4 linked regions of the Danio rerio genome follow. The protein of the gene in region 2 interacts with the protein of the main gene of each other region in a pairwise test. Links are inferred from orthologs where the notes say so. Each region holds a gene or a part of one and is shown on either strand. Other genes may lie near its edges. The genes, in order: akap10, prkar1aa, si:ch211-3o3.9 and akap1b.

The links.
Region 1: the proteins of prkar1aa (region 2) and akap10 interact in a two-hybrid assay, tested with the Homo sapiens proteins (3 studies listed by BioGRID and IntAct). The link is inferred for Danio rerio from reciprocal best matches to the Homo sapiens genes PRKAR1A and AKAP10.
Region 3: the proteins of prkar1aa (region 2) and si:ch211-3o3.9 interact in binary tests that used the Homo sapiens proteins (3 or more experiments, as listed by UniProt). The two-hybrid records come from large-scale screens. The link is inferred for Danio rerio from reciprocal best matches to the Homo sapiens genes PRKAR1A and AKAP19.
Region 4: the proteins of prkar1aa (region 2) and akap1b interact in a two-hybrid assay, tested with the Homo sapiens proteins (2 studies listed by BioGRID and IntAct). The link is inferred for Danio rerio from reciprocal best matches to the Homo sapiens genes PRKAR1A and AKAP1.

What each region holds. Positions count from the first base shown.
Region 1 is NC_133180.1:67,931,675-67,939,270, forward strand, and holds part of akap10 (A-kinase anchor protein 10, mitochondrial), read left to right. Parts: intron 1-4,477; coding exon 4,478-5,035; intron 5,036-7,596. UniProt on the Homo sapiens protein: Differentially targeted protein that binds to type I and II regulatory subunits of protein kinase A and anchors them to the mitochondria or the plasma membrane.
Region 2 is NC_133178.1:35,126,705-35,134,753, forward strand, and holds the start of prkar1aa (cAMP-dependent protein kinase type I-alpha regulatory subunit), read right to left. Parts: upstream 4,488-8,049; 5' UTR 4,390-4,487; intron 742-4,389; exon of another isoform or gene 739-741; 5' UTR 733-738; coding exon 559-732; intron 451-558; coding exon 283-450; intron 1-282. Other genes in the region: zgc:86896 (uncharacterized protein), read left to right, coding at 7,927-7,990. UniProt on the Homo sapiens protein: Regulatory subunit of the cAMP-dependent protein kinases involved in cAMP signaling in cells.
Region 3 is NC_133184.1:42,660,465-42,668,546, reverse strand, and holds the start of si:ch211-3o3.9 (small membrane A-kinase anchor protein), read left to right. Parts: upstream 1-3,976; 5' UTR 3,977-4,426; intron 4,427-8,024; 5' UTR 8,025-8,082. Other genes in the region: mstnb (growth/differentiation factor 8 preproprotein), read right to left, coding at 91-466.
Region 4 is NC_133190.1:33,449,515-33,457,110, reverse strand, and holds part of akap1b (A kinase (PRKA) anchor protein 1b), read left to right. Parts: exon of another isoform or gene 1-634; intron 635-3,674; 5' UTR 3,675-3,699; coding exon 3,700-5,224; intron 5,225-7,596.

The sequences.
Region 1 (7,596 bases), on a different chromosome or scaffold from region 2:
ATGAGAATCGCGATTATTTTTTTGTTTTTGTTTTTTTGCTTAAAATTAAGATCACGATCTTCTCACGATTCTGTATATGTGAAATAAAGGTATGGTAAAAACAAACATATGGCACAACCTCGATAATAATATTATGTGTAGGTCTACTGGTTTCTATAAATAATTCTATTCTACTTATAATAATTCTGATGTTGAATTATTATGTTTGAGATATATGCTTGCAATCTGTCATATTAGACTGTTTTATTCACTGGTAAAATCAGACATTTGCCATTATCAGATTATATTCAACAATATATAGGCTAGAGTAGTTACACTGACATTGTAAACATTTATTTTTATGCACAACTGTGGGTTCGCTATAAAAGAAATAACAAATCAAATGCTTGTCGTAATCATAACTCTAATATGCGATATGATTATTTAAATGAAGTGCACACTTTCGGTTTCGTTTTGACTGGTAAGTGCTTGTTCATACTTCGCACACGGCTCCCAAACGATCACTCTGTGCCACAAACTGAATATTATTTACAACTGTATTACCTGTTACTCACAACATATGCAGGTTCTGTTCACTAAAGTAGGCGCGCGAGCATCTATCATTAAGTAGAGCGCGCGCGCCCTTTCTGTGATAACAGCTCACGTCACGTGTGATTTCCCGATCGCCAAAACATCATTATATGAAGACAAAAAATGACATTTTTAGGTGAATTTTACCTTATAAATACAGTATGTGACTCATTCAACATCATTTGGAGGTGTCCGTGTCACTGAGCAACGTTTGTGAAACAATGAAAAGACTCGCCTTTTCTTCTCTCCTGAATTTGAAAATATGATTGGCAGAATCGTAGAAATGCTGGATTAAGATTGTTTAGGGGGTCGAATCGAGATCGCAATCTTTTAACGATTAATTGTGCAGCTCTAATGAATACTTTCTGGATGCACTGTACATACACATACATTCATTCATTCATTTTCTTTTCAGCTTAGTCCCTTTATTAATCTGGGGTCACCACAGCAGAATGAACTATTAACTCATCCAGCATATGTTTTACGCAGCGGAGACCCTTTCAGCTGCAACTAATCACTTGGAAACATACAAATACAATATAAAGCAAACAATGGTATAATAGTAACAGGTGATACAAGTTACAGCTATATAGACCAAATATTCATATCAGCTTTCTTCAGAAATCCTACAAAGGGATTCCATATTTTGAAAAACTTTATATATGAATATTTTTAAGCCAAAAGATGAGACAATTCTTGCAACCATTGTTTAAATTGGTTAAATATAAATGTTACTATGTTTAATCCTCATACTGTAAATGTCATCTTCAGCATTATCATCTAGCACAGAAGGTCTTGTCTGAGTTACAATGACTCCTCTTTTACATGTAAAGAAAAGCAACATTGAAACGTATTTGTTGACAAACCAGTGTTGCGAGGTGACTTTAACAAGCACAATGCCTTTAACGTCATATTTTAACACCTACATAAAGATGGATAGTATTTTACCGGCTCTTTTGCGTTGTGTTACTGGATAGTTCACCTCCTAGTTAAATGTATGTTAAACCCAATCTTCTGGTTTTGAAAGAGGAGGGTGTGGCCTTTCTTTCGACACATTCAAAGGAGGTCCCGGCTCTATTAAAAGATTTGTTTTGTTTGTTGATTTATGGAACAGAGTTTGCGCTGCTGCTGTGTATTAGAAATAGATGGCTGGGTGTGATCTGGAGATGCCACAAGTCTGAATTCGAGGCATCAATGGTGTTCACTTGTACAGAATGTGTTTGTTTAGCTATTGTAGTGTTGATATTTTATGCCAGGCCAAGTTTTGAATATTATGATTATTTATGTTCGTTAGACTGTTGTTATATTATTGTTTATTATATTTATTTATGTGTTGTATTTAATTATTTATTATTTTTAACCTTTTAATGTGCGTTTTGTTATTGGGAATTTATTGTGTTATGTTTTGTTCAGTGTTGTGTGTTTGGTTATTTTAATAATTTGTTCTTTTGGGGGGTCTGGGTTTGATTATGTTTTGTTTTTAATAGTAGTGTTTTTTACTTTCTTTTGTTTTGCTTGTTTATTTGTTATTTACATTTTTTTTTGTTTTTGTTTTTAAATAGTTTCTATAGGTAGTGTTTTTTCATCTTTTATCTTGTTTTGCTTGTTCTTTAGTTTTTTGTGTGTTGTTTTTATTGGTAGTGTTTTTATTTTGTTTTTTATATACTATTTATTTATTTTATTTTTTGTTTGTGTTTTGTTTTTAACTTGTTGTCTTTAACATGCTGGTTGCTGGTAGTGTTATTTAATTTTGTTTTGTTTTTTATTTTAAGGTATTTTTTGTTTTTAACTTGTTTTTATTGGGATTTTTTTCTTTTGTTTTGCTTGTTCTTTTTATTTGATTTTATGGTATTTTTTGTTTATGTTTTGTTTTAAACTTGTTTTTATAGGTAGTGTTTTTTATTTAGTTTTGCTTATTTTGTTAATGTTTTATGTTTTGACTTGAATTTAGCATTCTGATTATGTTATGAACTGAATTTTTTTTTTTCATTTTTCATGGTGTTTTGAGTGTATTTTGGTTATCATTTTTTTTTATACTTGATATTTTCTTATTTTTAGTTTTATATTAAATTTTTTATGTTCTATTGTTATTTTCATTGGGTTCTGTTTTGGTTTCAGTTTTTATGAGTACATTTTGCACTACACAAATATGGCAGCTGTTTGCTACAAAGTCCAAGCCTTGTCTGGTTTTTGCTTCTTCAAAAGTGCTTTTCCACTGCATGATATGGTACGGTACAGTTTGTTATTGGCTTGGTGCGCTTTGGTTTGCATCTTTATTGCAGTTTAGTACTGTGTGGGGTTATCACTATAGTTGTGCCGCCTCTACTACAATGATTTACTGTAACCCCCATCCATCCTGCGACTAAGAGGAGGAATGTCTGGACCTCTTTTACTGAATATGATGCTGCCATTTTAGGCATCTTTTTATTTTAAAGGTATTTTTTGTTTATGTTTTGTTTTTAACTTGTTTTTATTAATAGTTTATTTTACTTTATTTTGTTTCGTATATTTTGTTAATGTTTTGTGTTTTGACTTTATTAGATGTTTGTTTTTAGAATTCATGTTATTTTATGCTATGAACTTAATATTTTTTTCATAGTGTTTTGTGTATATTATGAGATTTATTTTATATATTTTTATATATTTTTATTATTGTTATATTTATTGGCTTCTGTTTTGGTTTCAGTTTTTGAGTACATTTTGCACTACATAAATAAGGCAGCTATTTGCTACCAGTCCAAACCTTATCTGGTTGTTGCTTCTTTGAAACTGCTTTTCCACTGCATGCTACGGTTCTGTAAAATTCGTCATTGGCTTGGCTCACTTTGATTTTATTTTGCTTGTCTCAGATTGCATCTCCATTACTGTTTAGTACTGCTTTAAGTGTGTCGTTATCACTATAGTTGTGCCACCTCTACTTCCATGACTTACTGAAAACGTTTTTTTTTTTTTTTCCTTCATCCCATTCCCATTCGTCCTGCAACTAAGTATGGGTCGAATATAAGATTCTGACAGTATGATAATCTTGGATAAAAATATCACGGTATTGTGATTACTGCTCTAAAATATGTTTTTTTTAGCTGTCTGTAAAAAACTAAAATTTTTGTTGTGTGAATGCAAAATATTTTATTTTAACTTACATTTGACATATTTTGGAACTAAATATTTGGAGGCTAAATAATTGAAACGTCTGCTATCTTCATTAGTGTCAAAAACACAGATTTATTTACAACATGAAAAGGCATCTTTCTTTTCTTTGGATATAAAGTAAGCCACTGCACTGTTCAGACATATCTACTGTATATAGGATGTTGGTTTTCAGGTGTAAAAAGATTAGTTAAAATATGTGAAATAATATTACACACAGTATATCGTAGAAACTGTATAACAGAACATTTTTGTGATTTTAAAACCTTGACATTTCCAAACCCTGGTAAACCTAGTAACTGGTTATCATTCCATATCTACAACTAACAAGGGGAATGTCTGAACCTTTTTTTGTAACATAATGCTACCATTTCAGGCAGCTTTTTCTTCAAGTAGCATTAAACCAGCTATACAGTGCGATCCAAAAGCACAGCAGTGACTGCAGTTGACTGTTTAAATATGTCAGGATTCGTGTATCATGTCGCAAACGTAATCACGTTGGTTGTGACCATTTTCTCCGACCAATCGGTCATCAGCAGTGTGTATAGTGTCACATTTTGGTAATGGTACGGCTCGCTTAAAACCACACCTACGGTGGTACTAACAAAGCACCAAGTTAAATACTAGTTACATAGTAACATAGTGGGAATCCTACCAAACCGGACCATGTCATGCAGTAGAAAAGCCCTTCAAGTTTGTTATCTCTGAATTGATGAATAAGTCTTAAGCACCGGTTTTAAAATGTGTCCTTTTTTTTCAGGTCGCTCAAGTGTCAACTATCAGATTCAAGAGACTCGATCTCGGCTTTCCAAAACTGTAGACCAGATCTTGCGGGACAATGTGGCCCTGCCCTATTTCATTCAGTTCATGGAGACGCGCTCAGCCGAGCACCTGGTCCGCTTCTGGCTCGAGGCCGAAAGCTTTCGCTCCACCAGCTGGTCGCGGGTTAGGGCGCACAGCCTCAACTCAGTCAAACACAGCACCTTGGCTGAGCCCGCAGCTGCCCTGGGATCACCAGACTCGCCTGACTCCCCAAACCACTCCAGCAGACCTTTAAATCTGGATGAGGGAGATGAAGAGGATGCTTTCTCCTCTAGGACGTCCTCCAGACCACACACCCCCAGTCCCCAGGACACTAACTCTCACAGTGGGGCTCTGATGAGCCACAGAGACTCTGTTAGCTTTGATGGGACGGCTCAGCCCGGGACTCTTCAATTGCAGCCTGCGCTCCGATCAGAAACACCCACCAGACAGACCTCGTCCAGGACGGGCACACCAGTCAAAGGCCTTCGTGAGCTCTCCGACAAACTTATGAAGAGTGAGTATCATTTTTGACAACCTCATTAACTTTCCACTGAGGATGGTTGCTGCGCGATATATATATTCTGTGCTTTAATATTGTATTTTAAGATCTCGTGAAATTAAAATGAAACATTTTAGGTCTGTTAGTTCTGGGGAAATTTATATGCTAGTGCGTTTCAAAACAGTGACAAAATCTGTGTTTAGAAAACATAAACCTGATATAATCATCTAAAACTTGGAGTTTATCACTTCCACCCACAGATATTTACATTAGATGTCACGTACGCTAGAAATGCGTCAATAGAACAGCCATTTTAGTACAGGGTAGGGCTCCTTTGAAATGAATGTGGAGGACTGGCCATTGAGAGCCTGTCGTATATTCACATATATACATATATCTATGATCAGCATACCTGTCAACATTGGGATGTGAAAATAAGGGATATGCCCACCATAATAAGGGATTTCCCCAACAACCCCCCCCCCCCCCCCCCAAATAAAATCCCCAAATTACTAAATATGTTCATTCATATGTTCAATGTTTCATTGTAAATAAACAGTTAAATAGTCATGTAATATGTTTTAAAATTATTAACAAAAGAGAAATAAATATATAGATTAGCAGCAAATACATTAGCAAACAGTTCAGCTTATTAAAATTAATAGCTATTATAATGACATAGAGTCAAACTATTAAATCTCATTAGCCATTTCTCCACTGTATAACTTATACATTCTGATTAAAGAACAACGAAGGAATCTCTCATTTATTAAGTTTTTTTTTATTACATTGAATAACAGGTGTCACTTTAAAAATGCACACATCTAACGTTATAATGAAAGCATTCGCCTGCTTTCCCTACATTTTATGCTTATTTAAGGCCAAGATCGACATCCTTATATGTTATTATTATTATTAATTATGTGTGTATGTCTGTTTAAACACGCACCCAAAAGCCAGACTTTTTTCTCTCCGCTTCAAATCGCATGTACAGAATCTGTTTGGGAAACAGCATCTGTTTATCACTATGGAGCACGTCAGCTGACAGTCATGCACCATTATATGACTGTTTTGAGGATTGTATAGGATTGGCGACGGCACCTCCAATCAAAAGGAAATGGAATCGCGCCATTTTTAGTATTTATTTAAAAGTGTTTTCATTCCTAAACAAAGCGAAAGCACAGAAGACTCACGTTTTAAAGCATGGGGCAACCCCTGGTGGTTCGGCGGTATGGGTTGCGTATAGGGAGGCTCAGCTGTTTAGAGAAAGACCGAAAATATGGGATAAATACGGGAAAATACCTTTACTGGATGATAGCTGGATAGAACAGTAAAATACGGGAGAATCCCGGGAAAAACGGGAGGGTTGACAGGTAGGAGTTTTCCTAGTGGTAAGTAAACAAATATTTTTTTAAATTACGTAAAAAATGCAGTTTGATAACTCTGACATTTAAATAACGTCTTAGCTGAATATAAAAACACAGTATTTAAGCTTTACAGTTTGCAGCACATTAGTAATTTTCCCCTAGCCTGCATTTTAATCATCACTTTCAACAGAGAAACCCTAATATCTGTAATTCTGTACTTAACTCCAATGGGTTTTTCCATGCTTAGTGGCCTTTTACCATTACAACATATTCCTTTTGTATCGGACGATGACTTTTAATATCCATACGGCATTGGTTTTATAGCGCAGGCTTGGTAAATGATCCCATTTAGCATCTTGGCAGTGGTGCAAAATGAGCAGAAGTCAGGAGTTGAGTGTTCATTAATGGCTAATACAAAGAAGCTCCAGGCTGTAAAAGCAGTGAATGGAAAAAGCCAGTTGAGCCGAAAGACATCAAATCAGCTTAGAAGGAGAGTCAGATCCTATCAGCCCATGGCTTCTCTGCCGAGAGCCTTCGCTGTCTTAAAAGGGAACAAGTCTTTGTCCACTTCACTGCGTTTTATAAGGCTGGTGCTAGGTTTTCAGAGCACCTCAGATGGATTTTATGAAAAGTGCTTCAACATTTAAAACATGCTCTGATGAGATTCCTCATCTCATAGACCCCCATTAAACTCAAACACTGTTAACATCAGTCTTGCTTCTAATGGCTGATCAGCAGTCGTTCCATCTGTATTTGCCCTGAAATAGCCTCTGATGTGATATTATTTAGACAACATTTCAGTAAATAAAAATGTAACATTGTTCTATAGTTTTGTCAGTACCCATGAAATTTTTTTATTAAATTTAATTTATGTTTATTTCTATAGCGCTTTTACAATGTAAATTGTATCAAAGCAGCTTAACATGAAAGTTCTAGTAAATTGAAAGCGTGTCAGTCCAGTTTTTTAGAGTTGAAGTTCAGTTCAAGTCCAAACACTGAAGAGCAAATCCATCAATGCACAGCTTCATAGGTCCCAAACCATGCAAGCCAGGGGCGAGGAACAAAACTTTACCAATTGACGAAAGTGAAGGAAAAAACCTAGAGAGAAACCAGGCTCAGTTGGGCAAGACTATTTTTTTATCTGGCCAAACTTCTTGTGCAGAGCTGCAGTCTAGGCGCCGGAGGCTGGAGAACGTTGGACGTCCATCA
Region 2 (8,049 bases):
AAACACAGGCAGATGATAAACTTTCTCTCTATTATGGTTAAACTCCTCAGCGAACCCACAAATCTGATGTGTTCTGAACTGTAGCTCCTGCTCAATTATAATCACAACATATAAAATCACATAAGACTATTGCAAACTTCAACATTACATTACCAATACTGAAATGATATATTGTGCTGCCCTATTTTGAGTCATGATTTATTGATATGAAATACTGAAATAATGCCATACAAAAACAAGTTTTTTTTTTTTTTTCAGAAAAGCAAGTAAGAAGTTATTTACCTTTCTGACATAAGAAGTGGCGTCCTCCTCAGTGTAGACCTCTGCACTGATGGCACCACGGCGCCGTCGGCCTTTAACCACAGGGTTCATAGGAGGAGAGACCTCATCTTCCCGAGAATCTGAGCGAGAGCTGGACTTCTGCTGGCTCACCATCTGTTTAGCCTCCTCCTGATTGACATAAACACCATTCGTGGAAGTGAGACTTACTTTTTATGAGTATAGAAAATGTGTAAGTGTTCAAGCCCATGCGGTTTTCCTCTGAAGAACACAACTGACCAACTCAAGCTTCTCGAAGTAGTCTCTGAGGTAAGCCATGGGTCTTTCAGGCCTGGCGGTGCACAGCTGCACAATGCAGTCCTTCAGCAGCTGCTGGATGTTGTGCTTCTGCACGTAGCGCTCACACTCCCGCAAGCTCCTCTCTTCTTCACTGCTCGTACTGCTGGACGCCATGATGACCTGCTGACCCGACACATGCAATTCACATCAGTTCATGACACTCAAGGAATCTGAAGTACAGAATTAAGATCTGACAAAAAGTAGATGTTTTGGAAGTTTTTTTTTTTCTGGTGAGCACTTGAGGCTAAGTAATGGGTGAGTAAATGGTCATGTTTGGATGAACTATCCCTTTCATTCTCCTTCAGAATACAAGTGGAAGATATTTGTAACGAAATCTGAGAGGTTTCGGTTCTTTCACAGTTTACACAACGGCCACTTTCAAGAACCAGAAATGTTGTAAAAACATAATTAAAGCATGTGACTCCAATAGTCCAACCTTATTTTTTCCTCACTGTTTAAAAGGGTTAAATTGATGTGTCATATGAGGAAACTAAAATCCTGAAGAACAGCAGCCTCAGAATCATTTACTGGGGAATGAGTTACATTAAAGCTTTCATCTGGTGGTGTCAGTTTCACATACTTGCACAGGTTTCCCTTGGTTTGCCATTGAGGAAATGCAAAACAACAGGGAGAAAGAAAGTTTTATACAGTATTATCTTTCCACAGTAGACGGCATCAACTGGATGCACTGTATTGTTAGAATATCTGTGCTCAGGTCAACACAACAAATTCCTCATGGAGCTCAACATGTGTCAGAATGTAGACATGACGAAACTGAAAGAAGTTATTTTATTTTGTACACAAAAAGCATTGCATCACCTCATTAGAATATGAATATAGCTCATGTAAACCTTACTAAAGTTTTACTTTTATACTAAAAATTTGGCACTTGAAAGTGGTTGTTGCATGGCCTGTCAATAGAAGGACAAACAAACCTATGAACAAACATCTCATCAAACATGTCCTAGGTATGGTAAAGTTATGAGTTTGAAACAACATTGGCAAGTAATTTTTTTGGGAATTTTCATTTTTGGAGACTTTTACTAAGTCATCTTTAGTGTATTTCCAGTTCACAGTCACACATGTTCTTTGAATGGAGGAAAGAAAATAAATGCCTTTGATGCAATAAGTTTTTATTTCACTGTAAATTCTAATATATCATTTAATTTTACATTAACGGTTTCTGAGTAACTAATTACTCATTAAAGGTTTTGGGCTCCATTTATGTGCAGCTGGAAGGAAGTGGTTAAAGGGTGTTCTCGCCAAGCCATCAAACTAACTTCACACAGAACATTGTTCTTGAGTGAAACATTATTTTCAGATTTTAACTGTAGATTTTAAAAATAAATATAATTTTTCTCTGGACTGGCACATATAAACTATCCACCACACGAATAATAATGTGCTTTATTAAAGTAAACATGATGAGTTTTCATTGCATAAAGAATTTAAATACAGAATTACTCAATATAACAATTGTTTTTGTACTGCTGAGACTTTCAGAGAAAACAGTTCAAGACACTAATAAAATCAGGCATCTGGAGTCAGCAGCTTCATTGGCAGCGCTCCAACCCAAGTCATGGCTCAGGGAACTTTCGTAATCCTGCACCCCCTTTCTCCCACTTCATTTCCTGTCCACTGTCCATATATAAATATTGTGTCGTATATCAAGCATACGGGAATAAATTTGGATTTTTGTGGCATCTTTTAAAACACTTACTATACATACATCTTTTGTCATTATCATGTCTTTACTTTGATATAACAGTCATATTAACATATCCATAGGGGAATCCTATTTTCTATTCTCCTACCCTTACACAAACCTTTCTGCAATTTTATCAAACATTTATTATCATTTTTAGTGATTAAGATCCACCTTTTCCAGAATGTGCCTACTGTGTTTTTAAAAATATGGGTGGTATTACTAGTTTTGGCCTTAAACTTTCATCATTTCAAATAATGAAGTTGAATTTCAGATTCATATCTGTAATAAAACTTGAATGAGAGGTATTTATTCTGTTGCACTTCATATTTAACTCTCATGAAAATAAATCAAATTAATACACTTGGTATTTTAACAAAACGTTACTCAAACAACGTCACAATAATATCTATGGCACGAGCTCTTTTCAGTTTGATGCTTTTGCTTCTCCAGATTATTAATTTTCTCTTTATTTTCTCATGTAAATAAAACATTACTGCAGAAAAACTTGTCTCATGACTTGCTGAAAGCAATTTGCTAATTATACTAACTTTCCTTTTAATAGTCAGTGGTTGAACTCAAATATTTCTGTTAGGATAATTAAATTTTAATTTTCAGTGTGAAGTTCTCATTTAAATTTTTTCTAGAGATCTGCCATTGTGGTATATCAGAGCAGTTACTTACATTGAAAGTTTGCATCCATTTTTTTAATCAGTCCTTATTGAGTTTAGTTTTATACATTTGTTTGTTGTAGGCATGGGACAATAACTGTTTTCAAGGTATACCGTAGTTGGAAAAGTCATTTTTTTTTACCTGTCAAATGTTTTTGCTATACCATTCCTGCGGTATATGCAAGATTTCTTTAATAATTTTTTTTGTTTGTTTTTTAGGACAGCAGTATCTCCAACAGAAAAGATACCCAAAAGTGGTGTTTCAAATGGTCCAGAAGTTTGTGTTTTTGAAACTAATAAAACAGCAGAAGTCTACGATTTATTTATAATATTTATCCTGACATGTTCACTGCTCCAAAATACTTAAAATGTTTCTCAAAATAAAATGTGTTCAAAGAGGGGAAAAAAAAAGTTTTTGTTTTTGAAACTGTGATGTTTTCATCTAAGGGTATAATAGTGTCAGAATCTTACACCGGCCCATGTCTACTGACTGTACAGCACTTTAGTACATGTGTAGCTGTAAAGTGCTTACAAGATCAAATAAACGAGAAGGATATGGATTGCAAATATTTATGAGAAATTGTAACTTTTTAACATCTAATGAATTTCTACCTGCACAGAGAAGTTAAATGTGTAAATTAAGAAGATTAAAAAAATGTGTGAAAAAAGAAGAAAAACTAAATGTGTAAAACATTCAAAGTTTTCTGTATAGATATGCATCTTTCTGGTCTTTTTATTTATATTTCAAAATGTCTTTCATGACAGTGGAAGTCCTCTGGATTAAACCCCACGTGAAACATCCAGGTCATAACCAAATCTATCATAAATCCATGCTAGCAGATAGTGATGTTGCTGTTAATACTAAATGTTACAAGCTTCCAAACGTGTTGTCAAACTGAAACAAACTAACATAAATCTTACATCGCATATCTAGTCTAAAATCTCTACTTTAACTTACAATGACACCACACAAAAGCGATATATACTGAACTTTCATCTAACTGTTGATTTTTGACAGCCATGCTATGGCTCCTGGTTCCTGTCGGGGCCCCTGAGCTCATAAAATTCGCAGTTCGCATCCCCACAGGCATTTCTCAACATTACGCCATTCGGTCATGCGAAAACAACCATTTTGGTCCAGAAAACATATTCCAATATAACTAGACTTCATTGAGTCAATGTTAAAGTGTTGATCGGCGTAATCCTGCAGCTTCTTCCAGCTCTGTGTTTTTTGTAACCAGTTTTGTCAAGCAGCAAAATACGCCATCTTGCAAACTACATTATCACAACAACGGAAGCCGATGGCATTAAATTAACGTCTCTACGAGCTTGTCAGCTCGCGTATCGACATCATCAAACGTTACAGTAAAAGCCGCTGTATTTAAATATTCATACCTGAGTCGCTTCGAGGAGTTTGTCGACGTGCTTTACTCCGTTTACACTGATTTTCTCACAGTCCTTGGATGGATGGACGCCTCACCGGAAAAGGTTATGACCAATCACAAACAACGATTGACGTCAATGCGCCTCGATCTGGGAAGCCGGTTTCCCCTGACAACCTTAAAGGGCAAGGGCTTGTTTTTGTATTTAGAGAGGAGATCGAGGTTATCAACCAGAAAACTCAGAACATTCGGCCGCACATGACGTGAGGGTATAAATCACATTTTACGCTCCTCCGGGAGTGACATTCAAATACAGAAGGACAGTATTCCTTACCCACGTGTTTAGCACTGAGAATGAATCTGGTGACAGCTGAAAAGGTTAATGGCTCTGTACATAAACCCAAGCCTAAATTGTGCCAATTCAAGCAGGGTCACAACACTGCGAAGATATGACCCCCCCTTAAAATTAATGTCTGATTGACTGTTATTACAGTACACCCTTAATAATCTAGATTTAAGTTTTCTTTTCCTTCAGCTGAATTGACATCCTGCAAAATATTTTCATTTCCTGAACTTATGCTATGAATCAGGCCATGCAAAATGTGTCAGGGTGAAACCAGGTCCTGTTTTAGTGTCTAGGTTAAGTTTACAAAACAGATTTACAATCATACAAATGTACAATATTATAAAACAGTTGGCGATACCCATTGAATCTATAAGTATTAGTGATATAGTAATTGTGTTTTGCATATATAACTTCTATAATAGTCTGTGTGTGTTCAGCAGATGTAAGATGCTCATAAACGCTTTACCCTCTTGAGATTGAGTAAATGGTTAATAAATGTATTTCTTTTTTGGAACTGTGCAACTTTAAAGGGCACCTATTTTACCACTTTTTCAAGATTTAAGATGAGTCTTTTGTTTCTCCAGAATGTGTCTGTAAAGTTTCAGCTCAAAACAACCATCAGATTATTTATTATACCTTTCTGGATATTTTCTGCTCTGGACAAACTGTAGCTGTTTTTGTTGCCTGTGCCTTTAATGCTAGTTCTCCCCGCCCACCATTCCCAAACTTGTCAGAGTGTGCCACAATCTCAGCTGAGTCAGATAAACAGCACAGTGACAGACAAGAAGGAAGCAGATCTCACGTAATGTTTGTGAGAAATACTACAGTAAGAACTTTACTGATGCTTATTTTTTATGTATTTGTTGTGGAGTTTATTTAAGCCTTTCGATGAGTCACACAGAGTTTTATTACAAAGTGTACACACGCACACACACACACACACACACACACACACACACACACACACACACACACACACACACACACACACACACACACACACACACACAGCACTCGTGTTGAATTTTGCACTGATTTTGCAATGCGAATGTGAGAGGATACATGTTATTATCCACTGCTATATCGATATCTGTAATGTTAATGTACAAAATAAACCTGATTTAACGTCCACAAACCGAGATTGAAGCTTCTTTTATAATTGTACTGACATGCGGCTGTGGTTACAAGTAAAGATGGTAAAATTGCTGTAATTTCTTACAAACATGCACTGTTTTAAAAAAGTTTTTTAACTTGTAAAACTCACTCTTAATAACATTTGGTGATGATTGATGATCACAGAGAGCTGAACAGATCTTTTAATCTCAGTTGCTATGCGCAAGTCCTGTATTGTTGATATTATTATATGCGTTACTATGGAGACATGTTTATGCAGCTGTCAGTCAATTCGGTGGGCGGGGAAACCGCACTCTTACGTCACGTGTCTCTTTAGCCCCTTTCACACATACAGACCTTTCCGGAAAATTGCCGGCAATTTTCCGGAAAGGTTGTATGTGTGAACAGGTCCTTTTTGAAAATACCGGTAAATTCGTTCTGGCTATTTTCCGGAAAGAGAAGTTGTAACATTACCGGCAATTTCCCGGAATGCTGCGCTGTGTGAATGCAGAAGGAAGATTACCGTAATAAGCGCGTGCACGTCTAGAACGTGCTGACGTGAGACGTCTGCTTTAGCCAATCACAACATTCAGACGCGTTTACGTCCGCGCGGTTCATGAGAATAAAAGCCTTTGAATATTTTTCCAGACACATTTAGCTGCTAGAAGTTAGTCAGATCACGTTTGTATGTTCTTCTTAATGCCAACTGTGTAAATAATCATCGATGAGATGCTTATGATAAGCCGTTGTTTGTTTACCTTCAAGCTTTGCGTGTGCCTGTGAAACAGCCTGTGAGCGCCTGCACACGCACATATTATGAATCTCGACATGCGAAAGTGATCCTGCGAAAGTTGTTCACAATATTGATCATCCACAGAGTTTGTAATTTATAGTCAAATGTTTACAAATACAAGCGCAGCCGTTCAAAGCTCATTTGTAGTGAATGATGTCAGAATTTACCGGTATTTTGGAATGGATGTGTGAATGCTCTTTTCCGGAAAATTTCCGTAACATCCTCGCCTGTGTGAACAGCGCTTTTTTCAATATACCGGTAAAGTCGTTCCGGAAATTTTCTGGATATTTACCGGTATCACTGTGTGAAAGGGGCTATTGAGTGCCTTAATATGGGAGAGATTTGGATCCTATTTTAACATTTATTTAAATTTTTAAAAAGACATGTTCTCTTTACATCACGCCAATATGACAGTGGAGACACTATACCTACACATAGTTCTGTCCAAACAGCTTCAAAAACATGATTTTCATCATAGGTGCCCTTTAAGTTCAACTTAATTCTTCCACGAGTGAAAATTTCTCCTTTCTTCCAGAGTGAGCGTTTGATTTTTGGTTTCATCTCCATATCAGCTAACTGAGCATCCCTTAATAGACTGTAACTTTCTTCCCGCAAAATCACCAGTTTACAGCAGCATAAGTGGTGACACAATTTTTTAAAGGGCAAAACACATTTTCAATTAGGCTTTAACATATAACCCAGTCTCTATAAAACAAATGATTTACCCTTTAGTTAATGATGAGGACAAGACTGTACAGGCCAGGTGTCAATATCAGTACATAAAGACACACCCTCTCTTATCTTCTCCTCCCTGCTGCCTCTGCAGCCCTCCTTGCCACTGCTCAACCTCATTCGTGTCGACTGCCCAGAGTCCACGAACTCAGCCTTTCAAAAGCTCCAGCACAAGGATTCAGGACATTTCACTACCTAGCAAAAGAGAGGAAGAAATAAAGGTGAGGGCATAGCCAATTTTCCATTGTCAGATTGTTTTATATGCAAACCTGCATTCACTTCTTAGTGACATCAACGTAACATGACTTAACTGGCACTTTAGTGGCAAATTGAAATAGAAGATTGACAAGTTTGTAAAGTATTTTATGTATAATCTTATGTCAATTGAAAATAACTAGGCTTGATGACTAGAATTTCTTTCAAATTGAAACATTACAATCAAGTAGATTTGGGTGGAGTATGACAAGCTTGCAACAATCTGTCTTCCTTTTTCAGTCACACTCCTTTTCATGATTGCATACTTTTCCTAACATCTGTGGTGCATTCCAGGATCTCCTTGTCGAAACATGTCTCTCTATAGCTTTGGACTGGAGCCTCTGTCCTGTCATGCCTGGAACAAAGACCGGACTCGTAAGAGCAAACTAGTTGAGCTACATTTCAATATAAATTACATCCCTTCAGGCTCCTTA
Region 3 (8,082 bases), on a different chromosome or scaffold from region 2:
TGCGTAAAGGGTCTCTCCAAGTACCGTATCTACCTCCAGATTAAGAGGATACGTTAACGCGAACTAATCTTTGAACTAGATAATCCTTACGTTCTGTGGCCATGGTCATGATGGTTTCTGTGGTGGCATGTTCATCGTCCTCTTCCACAGCTCCATCCTTACTGTCATCTCCTAAAACATCGTACTGATCCAGAAGTTGTTGCAAAGGCGGTGCTTTGGGTAACAGCTGCTTGACCACGTCCCGGCTGATGTTTGGAGCCTGCTTGAGTCGGAGTTTGCTAAGAATTTGGGACTTGATGGCATGCAGTCTCATCAGCTTGCTGTGTTGTCTGAACTCACATGTGGAACACTGCTCGCTTTCCTCCGTGGCTGTGGAAGGCTGCTGGTGCGCCGTTATATCTCCATAACCCACTGGACCACATGCAATTAATACACTTAGAGAAATTAAAACCTGTGTAAAATGCATGTTCCAAGGCGTGCTAAAGGATGTTTGATGTTCTGATTTGCTATGGAAATGAACCTCACCACGCACCGGACAAGTAGATGTCATGCTTAAATTCGGCAAGGCTTTTTATACTGCAACTTTGGCCACTCTATTGTGTCGTAAGATTCAATGATTGGCTGAGCTGGCAACAATAAACCTAATGGACAGAGCTGGACTTCTTTCGCAGCTCTTAAAGAGGTATAACACATCTTTGAGGACTCGTGGGGAAATCATTTGAACCTGAGAAATTATGCAGATTTATGAAAAATACAAACATTTAAAATACATATTTCCGTGCGTGCACACTTTGCGTCTTTTGTCAAACGCAGCTGACAAAGGCTACATGTTATATTTACGCATATAACACAATAACCGTACTCATTTTCGTAGTTATATCATTTAATTTGCTAGTTTATATAGTGAATAACATGCTAAAATCACCCTATATTCTCAATTCCTGCCTTTATCTTTTTTCATGTGGTGTTTGAAAAGAAGTAATTGGATAAAAATTAACGTATCTTCTGTCAGTGCGTTTATCTGTCAGTCCAATTCCTCTGTCTTAGCAGTAAGATCTTAACTAATCACAGTTCATCTTATTTATTCAACACACTCCCATGTACTTGCGGCATTTTCAGTTCATTTAGAACGGTGGATAAGATAAATTGCGCCATCTTGTGGAACTACATGTGTAACGCGTTAACCAGGTGAGGTATGTAGATCTTTCTAGTCGAATACCTGTAAAGTAAATTCTACGTATGATGGTGACATGCAAAATAAACAAAACTAACACAGATCTAGACAATACATACATTCCTATTTACATCAGAAAATATTTTGGATACTCTAGTAGTCTGCATATGTTGTAGGCTAATAAAATGACATTATGGTTCACTGAATACCAGGGCAATTGTGATGTCAGTCAGCGATCACTAAACTGTAAACAAGACTTGTCAAGTATTTCCCATCAGTTTCAGTTGGTTTCTCTTGTAATAAGCATATTTTTAACGCGAATCAATATTTCAAATCCATTTATTTATTTGGCATGTATACAAATACCATTCAATGCCACACTTCCATTGCTCAAATAGTCACTGATAGTAAATGACATCAAAAGTGAATAGAATTTTTCTTATTGTACATTATTAAAAATAAAATTCCTTTACTGTAAACCCCAATAATTTAAGGTAACTCAAACCATTTCAGGAAACCGATTGCAACAAAAAAATTGAGTTAAAAAAACTAATCTATATGATTACTGTGAACTTACTCCATTTAAGTTGAAGTAATGAGTAGGCCCATTCGGAATCTAGATAGATATATTATATGAGAGACTTGCTTTGTTTACCAAATAAAGTGGATCTAATTGGATTTGGAATGTAAACATTAAATACAAGTTAAAAAGATATTACTTTTTATTTCATATATTATTCAGATTTTAGTTATGATACTCCCAAAATCATTCAGCATAAATCTGCAGAAATTCTGCGCAGAAATAGCAAAAAATGTCTGCAGATTCCATCTGGCCCTAGTAATGAGGTATTTAATCAACTCATTACCTTCAACACTGAGATCAAAACTCTTCAAATGAGTAGAATTAACTTTCAGTATGTTTTGAGTTCACTACACTCATTTCATTTGACAAAGTTGACACTGTTGGGTTTTACAGTGTAAAACCACTTGACCTCAGTGGTTCCATGAACAACTTTTGACATTTTTGCAAACTATTCCTTCCACAAAATGGAAAGTTATAGTGTAGTTTTTCCCCCACTTTAATTCCTTAGATGGATTTACTCAACATTTACAATCACCTTTTTCAACCAGGATAAGTTTAAAAAATAAATACAAAAGTGCTTGGGTAATGAAACTGAAACTGGTCAATTTAGTGTTGAAGGTTTCATTGTTAAATATGACCAGCCTGGTGGCCAATCTTCATTGACTGCACATTTCACTAGTAAGAGCAGAGTGTGAAAGTATAATCACCGGAGTGATAGCACAGCTTCGCTTAAAATATGCACAACATTATGGGTGACATATCAGATTTCAAAAGTGGCCAAATTGTTGGTGCACGTCTCACTGGTGCATTTGTGACCAAGACAGCAAGAAGGACGAACCACATCCAGTAGGAGTAACTGTAGGGCGCAAAAGGAAGCTGTCCGAAAGGGATGTTTGGCTGCTAACTCGGATTGTATAAAAAAAAACATAAAACCATAGCTACCCAACTCATTGCAGAATTACCAAAACTGTTCGTCGGGACCTCCACAGGATCAATATACATGGCTGGGCTGCTATAGCCAAACCTTTGGTCACTTGTGCCAATGCAAACAGTTTCAGTGGTGCCAGCAGTAGAAAATGTGAAACATGTATTGTTCTCTGATGAGTCCACCTTCACTGTCTTTTCCCACTGTCTTTTCCCACTGTCTTTCCGAGAGAGTTACGGTGTGGAGAAGCCCCAAAGAAGCATACCACCCAGACTATTGTAGAGTGAAGCATGGGGGTGATCAGCGATGGTTTGGGCTGAAATATCATGGCATTCCCTAGGCCGAATGCTTGTGCTTGATGGGTACGTCACTGCCAAGGACTCCCAAACCATTCTGGAGGACCATGTGCACCCAGTGGTTCAAACATTTTATCCTGAAGGTGGTGCCGTGTCTTAGGATGATAATGCACAAATACACACAGTAAGACTGGTGACAGAGTGGTTTGACGAACATAAAAGTAAAATTTAAAATCTCCCATGGCCCTCACAGTCACCATATCTAAATATTATTGAGCCGTTTTGGGGTGTGTTGGAGGAGCAAAATAGGAAATGTTTTCCTCCTAGTGACCGGGCCACTATTCTGCAAGAATGGCTCAAAGTTCCTCTGGCCACTGTGCAGGACTTGTATCTGTCATTGCCAAGATGAATTGATGCTGTATTGGCTGTATTGCTGTATTGATGCTGTATTGGACCATACTAATGAGTTATTGTTGAATTATTATCTAAAACCAATCGTTTAGGTTTCATTGTCCAACCCCTTTGTATAGAAAAAAAGCTTGTGTAAAACAGAATAAACAAACTCTCAAATGTTTAAAACAAGGGGAGGGTGCGTAAATAATTCAGTATCCCTTTATTAAGCACGCAGCATCATACTGAAAACAAAGAAACTGAAAAAATATTTCTTAATCAGTGTTACTTTAACTTACTTTAGAGGGCATAAGGACTCACAACCCTATAACTGAGTCTTGATGAAACCTGAATTATTTCATGTATGTCGATCTCAGCATGTAGTTCTCTCCCTGCGTGGAATCAGAATAATGCATTTTGCTTTCTCATATTTCACTAAAAGCTTTTGAAATGTTGCGAGATACTTCATACCTCTCTCTAGGGTGGGCCCTTGCATTGCATTGAGTTCTGCATATTTGCATTAGGAACAGTCATGTCTGTCCACTAGATGGCGCGATAGTGTTTCAAAATACACCGAGGCGCAACCTGTGTCTGCGTGTATTGCAGTAACCTATTTTACCCAGTTTACAAACAAATGTTTTAGCAAAGAGAGCTGGAAATAAGTGTGCACGTGAAAAGAATTAGGGAATAATTCACTAGCTTTAAATGAAGTCATATGGATGGCCGTTTCTGAATAGATAGAGGGGCTTCAAAAGCAACATGGATTAATGCAGTGTTGAGCTCCATCGCTGTCCTGTCACTGGAATGAAACTGAAACGTTATCATCATTATACGTGGACTCCGGACGCACATGCTGAATTCTGACCCGACTTATCCTACGAGAGCAAGTTCATCAACATGCTTTCTCATTCTCCGGTGAAGCAACCGAGACTGGAGGAAGCAGATTAGTGTGGATTTATCTCAGTTTTCCTTTTAAATAACGTATTTCCACGTGGATGAAATGATTTCTTCGATGTTTTGTCCATTCTGTTGAAGCTTACAGCCTTCAGTCTGAATAGGTATGTACTCACTCTGATTATATCACAGGAATGTGCACTTTTAGCGTTAGATTACAAAACCAGAACATCGTGCATTTTTCCCCCAATCAGAAATAATATTTTGCCTTGACCTTGAGGCTTTCTTGACTCAAATACGAACCGTGAAATTTAAAAACACACCTGAAAACAGAGCTAGAAATGTAACCTCGGTCTTCTCTTGGATATATCGTTCCAATCATATGTAGCCTATATCATGATGTTGTTAAACTGTTGATCACTTTAGATTTCCAGACAGTGACTGTCGGTTGTCCTTGTCTGATGTGCATATGATGTAAACAACGGATTTGAGCGTCAGGCGGAAAGAATAAATACCGAGGAAAATATTAATATAGGCTTTCATATGAACAGATGCCTAAAAACATTTAAAATCCACAATATCCTTCACAGAACGTGATTTATATTAATAAATGAGGCATTATCGATTTGTGTTATACCAGCAAAACGAGTCAACCGGCTTTCGTTGTGAGGAAAGTTAGTCGTTAGCCATCCTCAGGAGCAGCGTTTCTCAGGATAATAAATAGGCTACTGTAATAGACGTCCGATCCGTGAACGAATCATTCTTTTGAGTCGAATCATTTGGACGATCAGTTGAACCAAAATCAAACTGAATCGGCCCGGAGTTAACACCTCATAGACCCATTGAACCGAAGTAAGTGCATTTCAGTGTGAACAAAATGAACCGACGAGTCCAGGAGGAGAATATTAAGATGCGTTTCAAATAAAGCACATTATAAAAAGTCTGTGCTATACATGAACATTTGTTATAACTACATGATAGCTTATTTGTAGATACAACGAGGTAAATTAATAGTATGGTTTCATGCAAATACGAATTGAAGCTTTAAATTGAGCTAAATATGAACTGGGTTACTTTAAACATTATATGCTAATGAATAAAAACATGCACATATCATTAGATATTTGACTTAACTAATAATATCAACATATAGTTGAAGTCAGAATTATTATTGAATTATTAGCCTCCCTGTTTATTTTTCCCCCAATTTCTGTTTAACTGAGAGAAGATTATTTCAAGGCATTTCTAAACATAATAGTTTTAATAACTAATTTCTAATAACTGATTTATTTAATCTTTGCCAAGATGACAGTAAATATTATTTTACTCTATTTTTGAAGACACTTCTATAGAGCTTAAAGTGACATTTAAAGGCTTAACTAGGCCAATCAGGTTAACTAGGCATGTTAGGGTAATTAGGCAAGTTATTGACTAATGATGGTTTGTTCTGTAGACTATATATATATACTACATATATATATAGTTTAAAGGGGCTAATAATTTTGACCTTAAAATGGTTTTAAATTAAAAAACTGCTTTTATTCTAGCTGAAATAAAACAAATAAGACTTTATCTAGAAGAAAAAATATTATCAGGCATACTTTGAAAAATTATCTTGCTCTATTAAACATCATTTGGGAAAAATCTAAAAAGGAAAAAGATTCAAAGGGGGGCAAATAATTCTGACTTCAACTGTATGCCCAGAACCATTGTAAAGTGCGATCCATAGATTCCATCATAAGTTTTTTTTTTTTTTTGCAGCTAATAAAACAAATAATTAGAATGTTAAAAATCATTAAGTTTTAATTTTTAATAAGAGGAGGTGCTCTATTTATAGCATAAAATTAAGCATATCCTCTATAGCACTATTTAGACAAGGGGTGATCAAACTCGGTCCAGGAAGGCCAGCGTCCTGTAAAGTTTGGTTCCAACCCCAATCAGACCCACATGGGCTAACTAATCAAGGTCTTAGGCTTTCAACATCCATGCAGGTGTGTTGAGGCAAGAGCTAAAATCTGCAGGACAGCGGCCCTCCAGGTGTTTGTTTTTTGTACGTGGATTACTCAATTAGCTGGATTTGGTTATTGACGATTTGACCAAATCCAGGATTGTTTCGTTCTTCAAAACTCATCCGAAAGTTGTTGTCATAGCAACAGTTCTGGTAGCTCAAACCTGCTCAGGAGCAGGCTCATTTCATTTAGGAGAAGATCGGGTCAGTTCTAGCTAGGATAATACTGAAAATATGTATTGAATTCTGATGTTTTCTTACAGTAGTAGTTATGTTCACTTGGGAAAATAGTATATATATATATATATATATATATATATATATATATATATATATATATATATATATATATATATATATATATATATATGTAAACGTATGCAATCTGGACTACGACACAAAGTGGTTCAAAGAGAAAATTTATTGATATTAACTTTTTAGATACAAACACGTACAATTGCTTTAGTACAATTTGTGTATGATAATAAACATGCACAATATGCAACTTATACATCCAGTTATTCCTTACAGTGATTAAGAAACCGGCTACTATAATACTACTAAGGCTACTATAATAAAGAAAATCCCCTCTAAAACTAATAATAAATACCCTTGACAACTAATACTAATAATAAATACTCTTGACAGATAAAAGTGTAACACCTGTAGCCCACAACAAGGTTGAAAAGTTATTGCATATCATATTTAACAAATCGTTTCTTATGAATTTTTATGTAATTTTGCTCACATGAATAATTGAATATTAATCAGATGATGTCATTACGCTGCTGTGCCGTCTGCCAATCTTTGCATGTTTTAAAAATTCTATTCATTTTTTAAAATATTGTTTGTTCATCTTTTAATACCATTGACGGTTTTCACATCAGTGAAATACCAGAAAAGGAAATGTGTTTAAAGATGTGATAAATGGCATGGATCATGTAAAATGTAAATGGGGCCCTACAGGACCCAAGAATCTGGGCTACGCCCCTGGTCACGTCACAATTGTCAGATTCACATGATGCCATAATGACAAATTCTAATGCAAGTACTCTTTTAGAGTGCTTTATTTGAATAATTGTGGACAGTACCATCTAAACATTAGTGTGCATCAGGCAAACAGACAGAGACTTCTGAAACAATGGGTTTGGTTCACTTCTAGTTTAACTCCGGCGTGGTGCTACGGAAATATAAACCAGAACAAAAACACAGAAATTAATTAAAAACAGGACATGATGTCAAGATTTGACAACAAAGAGACAGAGTGCTCAAGCATACCTGTTCAATTCATATGTCAGAAGCAGATCTCTTTGCAGCAGATCTTTGACATTTATGTCCAAATGAAGAATTTTTTGTACTGTTTTTACTTTCTTTTATTAGATCCTCCTAACTTCTGAGCGAATAATAAAAAGTAACTAACACTTCAACAAGCTTTCAAATTGTAAAATGGAAATGTATAATTTTCAACTTTGGTCCAAATCAAACAAATTTAGAAAACTGAACTACAAGCATGAACACAAAGTATTTTGAAAGCAGTCAGGCTTGCTGACTTATTTCAGGTTGTAGTAGGCTCATGCATCTAAGCACATGCAATGTTTTCTATACTGCCTCATTGCTGTGAAGATGAAGTTATTACAGTGTCATGGACAAGGTTGCCAAGAAGACAATGTGAAAAATAGTCTTCATGAAAACGTATATTTAGCCAGGCAAAGACAAGCAATAACTCACTGCAACCCTGCATCCTTTTCACACAGGGCAAGTGTAAGGTGGCTATGTGGACGCTATACATCATGGCTGACCATCTGGATTGTC
Region 4 (7,596 bases), on a different chromosome or scaffold from region 2:
AGTAACTTATCACTAAATCTGAGTTCAACCCTTGTTTAAGTGTTGCTTGTCAATTATTGTGCCCTAATTTATCAAATACATAATAGTGCATCATTATTACATAGTAGACTTTGACGTACAAATCAGCTTGAACAGCTATAACGTTAACGTTAGCTGGTATTGGGGGGGATTGCTAGGTTTTAGATTAGCTATGACATTTGATTTTCTGAATTGGTTATCAGGCTAATAGTTAACCGAGCTACATGCTCCACAAACCATCTCAAGCTGATTAGACCAGCAAGCATTTGGTTTGTTTATGGCCCAATCCATCAAGGACTCCAAATTATCTCTATTTTTCCATTAGGGGATTGTCATTTGGCTATTTTAAAGGTTCAATTCATAATCTAACTTTGAGCTGTGGTAATGTGTGTGGTGGTTTTGGAGAATGACATGGAAACATATGCTCTCCTGCTTTGTTCTCATGCCTTTGCGCGTTGAAGTCAACTCACACCTTCATTCAGCTGAATTATGTACCGAAGCCACATGGACGAGCGGTTTCTGTGAACTCATGGATAATTCAGGGCCGCTCTGAAGAACGAGCACTCGGTGGAGGGTTACCCGGTGAATTCGGATTAAACTGGAGATACTTGAAGCGGTCAGTACTTTGGACTAAATAGCTGCATGGGGTTGCAATTCATTCAGCGGCCTACCACGCGCACTGTAGGTCAATATCACCTCGCTAACTGGCTATGTTATGCGCGTCCGCTTTTATTTAATCCCATGACTTATGTTTATTGTGTCATTGCTGTCGGGAAATTAGCAAGCAGCCGCTTTTATTTAGCTCATTTCTCTCGTTAGCCCTTATAGCAGCTGCAGCAGCAATGGACGGTTAGCATGAGTGCTAACACGCGCAGCATTTATTGCAACCTCTCAGACATCTGGCGCAATGTGTGTGGGGACGTGCACTTTCATGCACAATTATATCATTGGCTTTAGCTGCATTGGCAGTGTGATATAACGCACGGAGAACGTCACTTTCGTGTGTCTCGGTGTAATTCTCCACCAGCAGCCGGTGCGCGTAACTGTTACCTCACGCGCTGGAGTGATCGGAGGTTCGCTTTTGTATTCTGAATGCTGCAGCACTAGTAAGCCGCTTACTTGCTATCAATGGGTTCGTAGGTAACGTGTTGCGCGAATGACTGGCTACGGTGCCCTCTCCGTTATCTATACACCTCCCAAGGTCGAACGGCCACCGTGCAGCACGCGCTCGGTTCTCTTTTCTATGGTCCGCTCGCGCACGCGCTCAGGCCATGATATGACAGCGAGCGTTAAACTCAGCAAGCATCTATTTAACCTCGTGCTGAAGGTGAACACTGGACTCAAACTGTTTCAGGAAGACTTCACTGAGCAGAAACTACTGTAATGTGACTACGTGGTAACATGAAACGTGCTCAAGACTGATAGCGCTAACAGACAGTGTAGTATTAATATTATGACTATTGTGTTCTCTGACCAACCTCCATATCTGGTACTATAACAGATTCTTTCAGAAGTACATGAGATATAGTTATTCACGTTTATTGGCAAGTACTGCTCGTCTTGCAAAATTGATGCTTGACAAAGACAACAGAAAAATTGGGCTGAACTAGAATGAGCTAAACTCATAATAATTAAAATGTATAAAATATGAACACCTTGGGATAATAAAAATATAAAACGAACTACATTTGTGCAAAATATATTTGTAGAAATTGTGACATTTGATGAATATATAAATAGACACATAATCTATCCACAAATAAATAATCTGAGTGTCAATTTAAATGCTATATTAATATAGTTTTTATGGCATTTTCTTTTTATTTTAGTGATTTGGAGGTTTTGTAACCCTTAAGCACACTTACTGCTTAAGTTCATGTACAGCTATCTTGTTTTACTAGTGTTGTTTCTTGTACAGTACATCTAAAAGGAGTTCTGCTTCACTGTATTTTGCAACCTTCTACAGATGCAACACCTTTATATACAGTCTAGGGGTGCTTTTACACACAATGCACATACAATTGGGAAATTCTTGGGTTTAAAAAGTTGTGTGTATAGACCAGTGTTATCAAAATTATTCCAGTAACTTCAAACAGATACACAAATACAATTAAAATGCTATAATATGCATGCCAAGCGGGTAGTTGATGTCTCTTTTATTTGTGGTTATGAAGTATTCGTATGATCGCATCATTATGATAGACATAACATGAAGACTCAGTTTTAGATGCATTTAACATTGTACTTTAACAGCTGCCCTCGCTTACTTCTCTCAATTACTCATTTACCCTCCACTTGTGCCAACCCCATTTGCATTTGTGATGATGAATGTAAATTGGTAGTTATCCTCTTTGGTTTGGTTACCAAGAATTTTCACAATTTATTGTTAGCAAGTTTTTAGCAACAGATGATAACCTAAGGTTTCAAACAAATGGAGGGTGATAATTGATGACAAATTTCATGTTTTTTTAATTACTTTTTAATGATAAATGTAGTCAAAATATGTTTGTATATTAAGATTCAACTGATAGACGTGAAAGTACTTTTCATTTACTGACAATGAATAAGTTAGCAGGTTCAGGTTGCTTTTTGAAACATCTGGAAGCTGACGAGAAACGGAAACCCCTTTATCTTTGGTAACTATGTACAGGAGTGAATGGGAGGGACTTGTGCATGATGTCTTCTTCCTGTTCTGGAGACTGGGAAATGCTGCTCCCATGATGGAAAGGCATGCATGAATGTCCTTTTTTTAACTCTGAAAGGATGCCCCTCCCAGCCAATAGCAAAGAGGTAGACATGTCACGTAGCTCCCTGCAGCCTCTGAGGTTGAATATCAGCCATGTGATATTGTCCCTGAAGTTTCTGCATGGCTGGCCAGGACTCTCCTGTCTCTCACTGTAAAGTAACAAGGCAGAATATACTGTAAACACTGTAGTACATAGGTGCAGAAGGTTTGATGCATATTATATAATAATCAATGTATGGATCTATGCCCATGCATGTTGTAGATCCATGATGAGGTGGTACTTCTCAAAATTTTGCACAGACTTGTGAACAAGACAAATGATTGTTGATCAGGGTGAAATTTATCCAGGATGAGGATGACTCACAGATTCTTTCACTTCCCAAAGGCAGTGCAATTTTAACTAGATACAAAACATTTTCTTTTTACATGCCTCCCTGGAATTCTTTCAGATTCTGATGGTCTGTGGTCAGATATTTCCTCTAGTTTACAGCTAAACATTCTGTGCCAAGTTATCTTTTGAATCACTCTGGCTGCTTCTTGCTAAATAAATGTAATTTCAACTCAAATCAGTATTTTGTGTCAATTTATTAATTATATTTAGTATCAATATGGAAAAAGAATCCCCTACGAAAAATCTTTTTTGTACTTTAATTTATTACTGAGGTTTGCTATTTGAGGCAAATTTAGGCAGTTCAGTTGTTTTCTTCCTCAGTTGTCTTTGTATAAACGTTGAGTTACTGATAAACTTTAACTGTGTTTGAAATAAATAAATACATTATAACATTAATAATAAGATTTAATAATTGATGTTAATGTGTTCATTATATTGCATCGTATCACAGCATTGTTATTTGTTACATATTGCATGGACAAAATTAGATTAATATCCGTTCCTTGTGTTGATCTGCAGGTGTAGCTGCTAGGGTCCAACGGAGATGCCACTGAGGTTCCGGTCCTTTGTTCCGTATACGCTTCCCGGAGTGCTGGCGCTCATAGGCTGGTGGTGGTACATCTCCCGCAAAAAAGAGCGAATCACCAGCCACGACAGTGAGGAGGACTCACTCATGGGATTGCGGACCTCCTCTGGTGAGGGCAGCAATGGGATGGTCGACAAAAGCTGCCCTGCATCCAGCAGCACACACCGTAAAACCAGCCAAGACAGAGTCAAGGCCAAAGAGCACAGGCCTGTTGAGCAGGAAGTGGTAGCGGAGATTCACACACCAGTGCTAAAAGCCACTGCAGGAGAGGCTCTTGGCACCCCTCCAGTTGTCTTAGCAAGTGGACAACTAAGCGCTCCTCACAGCGGTACAAAATCAGTCCCCCCCAAAAGCCACCCAGAGACCACTAGCCAGACAACTCCTGTGTCATCTTCAACCCCCACAAAAACAGTTGAGGAAACCCCTCATCACAAAGGACCAGATGTCGCAACTGATGCCAGACCATCAAGCCAGTTACCGCCAGCAAGCACTGATTCAATCAAGAAGCAGGTTGAAAACCAAACACTAACTAGCCAGCGTTCTGTAGAGCTAGCCAAAGCAGAGCGACCCGAACCTGAGGGAGAGGTGGCCACTGAAAGCTTAGCAACAACTTGTGCTCAAAATCTGCAGGCTGACATTTCTAAAGATGAACTGGCCTCCACTATATCTTCAACAGAGAGTGAAGCTGTCCTGCTGGAGACCTGCAGCCCAAAAACACCCTTAAATTTGACCTCATTTCCCAACTCCACCAGCACACCCCTCTCAGAAAGCTCCACTGGGGCTCAGCATCATGAGAACGGAGACCTGGGCCTGCCGGCTGAGACTAGTCCAGACTTGCAGGAGCTTCAACGTCTCGCGGCGGGGCTGATCACTGAGGTTATCTCAGCAGCCACCCAGGAGGTCATGGCAGTCAGCAGCTGTGAGTCCCGGTACAGCAAAGGTTCAGAAGCATCCGACGACAGCACACTGGCTCTAAATGGTAAAGAGGAATCTAGTCAACTTCCAAAAAGTGCAGAGTCCCGGGCGGCACAGATAGCAGAAGAGATTGTCAATGGTTGTCTAGCACCTTCGCTCTGGAAGATGCCGGAGAATGAAAAAGATCGAGGGTTGTTGTCTGTGCCGTCTGGAGAACAGTTGGAATCCACACCAACTCTGGCCAAGTTGCAGGCGGAGGAAGCTCTAGTGGAAGACTCCGGATGTAGCACGTGCCAGTCCGAGGATGGCGTCAGCAGCGAGGACCTTCATAGCACAGGGTTGTCTTCGACAGTATCTGAGAGCAAAGAGGACCTCATTCAAATTTCAGGGACTTGTAAGGCCACAGAGGGTCAAGAAGATAGACTGCACGAAAGTCTTGCTCTGATTGCCCCTCAGGAGTCACCCCTTACTGCAGAAAATGTGGCTACGGTTTGTGAGGCAGCACGGTTAAATGGAACAGGCCTTAGGAATGGTGCCGCCAGTGAGGTAGACGCTGACCAATCTGGAGGTGAGTTCTTGAGATTTTAACACAAAGATTTGACCTCAAATCAAGAATCAACCCCAAAAAATAATTATTTTGCCATTTTGAACCTGTAGAATGGAAATTCAGTTACATTTCAGTGAAGTTTGAGCTTTTCCTGATATTGCACACTCCATGTAAACTCCACCTGGGCAGGTTGTTTAATTGTGGCTTGTTTAACAGTGTATTATGTGGTATGTTTATTTCAAATTCATTCAAAGCCTTAGAATAGCTTGTAATTCACTTTGCTTAGTTTGCAGCTTGTCAGTTGTAAAGGAATTTTCTGCAAATGTTTTCAACCAAAATTAAGCTAATAATTTTATTGTTCACAAAGAAGACCACTGTTTTCAGCTGGCTTAGTTTATTTAACTCTAACCAGTGACAATACTCATATTGATGTTTGGCCAAATGTAGTACTTCAAAAAGCCTGAGTCAAGGGTACCTCAAACTGTGAATAGACTCTTTGGAAACCTCAGATGCTCAAGTTCCAAAACAGAGTATGTTACATGAGTACAATCACATGTGCACGGCTGTTTTTACTGCTCCCTGCTATACCTTACATGGTTATCAGCAGTCTCTTGCGTTTTTTTTTATTTTATTTTTTTAATTATCTGCTTCAGAGCAGGGGCCTCATGTATCAACGCTGCGTACGCACAAAAACTTTGCGTACGCCAGGTTTCACGCTCAGAATCGCTCACGTTTGGATTTACTAACAATGAACTGAACGTGGGAATGTGCGCAGCTTCACGGCAGCTTTCTGGCAGGCGTATGCACATTTTTTGTGCGTGTCTGTTTTATTTCCATTGGCGACTCCTAGAGGCAGTTGTGTTAAATTCCTCTCTACAAAGTGTCTGAGCCATGCAATGGCAGCTGTATGAGATGGGTTCAGCAGGTATATAAGGTTTCCATACCATACATTTGACCAGCTAAACATTAAAGCACAATTTGCAGCAGTCGCCTGTTTTCCCAATGTAATCTGAGCGATCTACCGCACGCACATTGCTATAAAGACACTATCTGAAGATGAATTTGCATGCGTGAATCAGAAACATTTCCATTCAATAAATTTGCAAATAAAATATGATGCTTATTGATATGAACTTATTGATGATTCCTACTTGTCTTTCTCGTGATAAATAGTTGGCAAAATCTGATATGTAGCGGGGGAAAAAACAAGAGTTCATCAGACGCTGGAATCGAGCCGAGTTCATGCTCGAACGTATCAATTCATGATCAAATGCGTCTTACGAGCGCGCCACTGAGACTGTTAAGCGTACTGCAACATTTTACAGATATAAACCAGACTATGTCTTTTTTTTTTAATGCACTCAGTGCGATATGTTCAGACCCAACTGTGTTGACCGCATCAGCTAAACTCTCCCACTCTATTTTTTTCTTTTGTTGTTAATTCCGGAGAACAAACTTGCAAATAACACCGCTTTTCTCCGGTCTTCCTCCGAAAGCAGCACCTCCAATTCACATTCTGTTCAAAGTTTCTCTTTTTGCTTGATTTTGTCTTTGCTTTTTCGTTGGGTTTTTCCATTAGCATAGTCATTAGCATATTCATATGGGGGAGGAGGCAGGGAGGGGTTTTGTGCTCGTGCATGTTGCGCTCAGTTTCACGTTCATTCAGATGTACAAAAGAATATGCGTGAGATTTGGCAGTGTTTCATACATCTGAAATTTTTTCTGCGTACGCACATTTACAGCTTTGTGTGTACGCAATGTTTTAGTATGATTTCCACGCAAGTCTTCGTACATGAGGCCCCAGGTGTTGGAAATGGGCAGTAGTAAGTTTGTTATTGGTTCTTCATCAATAGTTATAAACAAGAACATAACAATACTGGGTCGGTGACATCCAATGTTTGTTTTTACGGCCTGGGGCATTTCTCTGCTGATTTGATGACAGAAAAACTGAGTTATTTGCTTAAACACTTGTAAGGTGTTGTCACACCAGTCACTGCTTGCTGATCCTCCTGTCATATTGTGAGGTTTGTAGACTTGCTCTGATCCATTTCTAAAGGTCTCATTCTTAATACCTTGTAGATAGAGAGTTTCAAAGGAATTTGTCATGATATACTTTTGCATCTTGCGTGTTATACGTTCAGGGGTGTGAAACCTTGCACAAATAATCTCTGGAGTAAAAAGTGTCCAATTATATCTTTTAAAATCCTACATACCAAAAGGCATTTTGAAGTGGTCAGTTTTGTGCCCTTTGGTTTGCAATGAATTGCAATTCTAAGGTGGATTAATCCAGTCTGGAACACAGCCAGTCTTCAGCCCATCAACATTTGAATGAAAGGAGAAAGTGTAGCAAAACTAAAATTGCTTCCTTTCTTGTTAGTATAACCCAAGTAAAT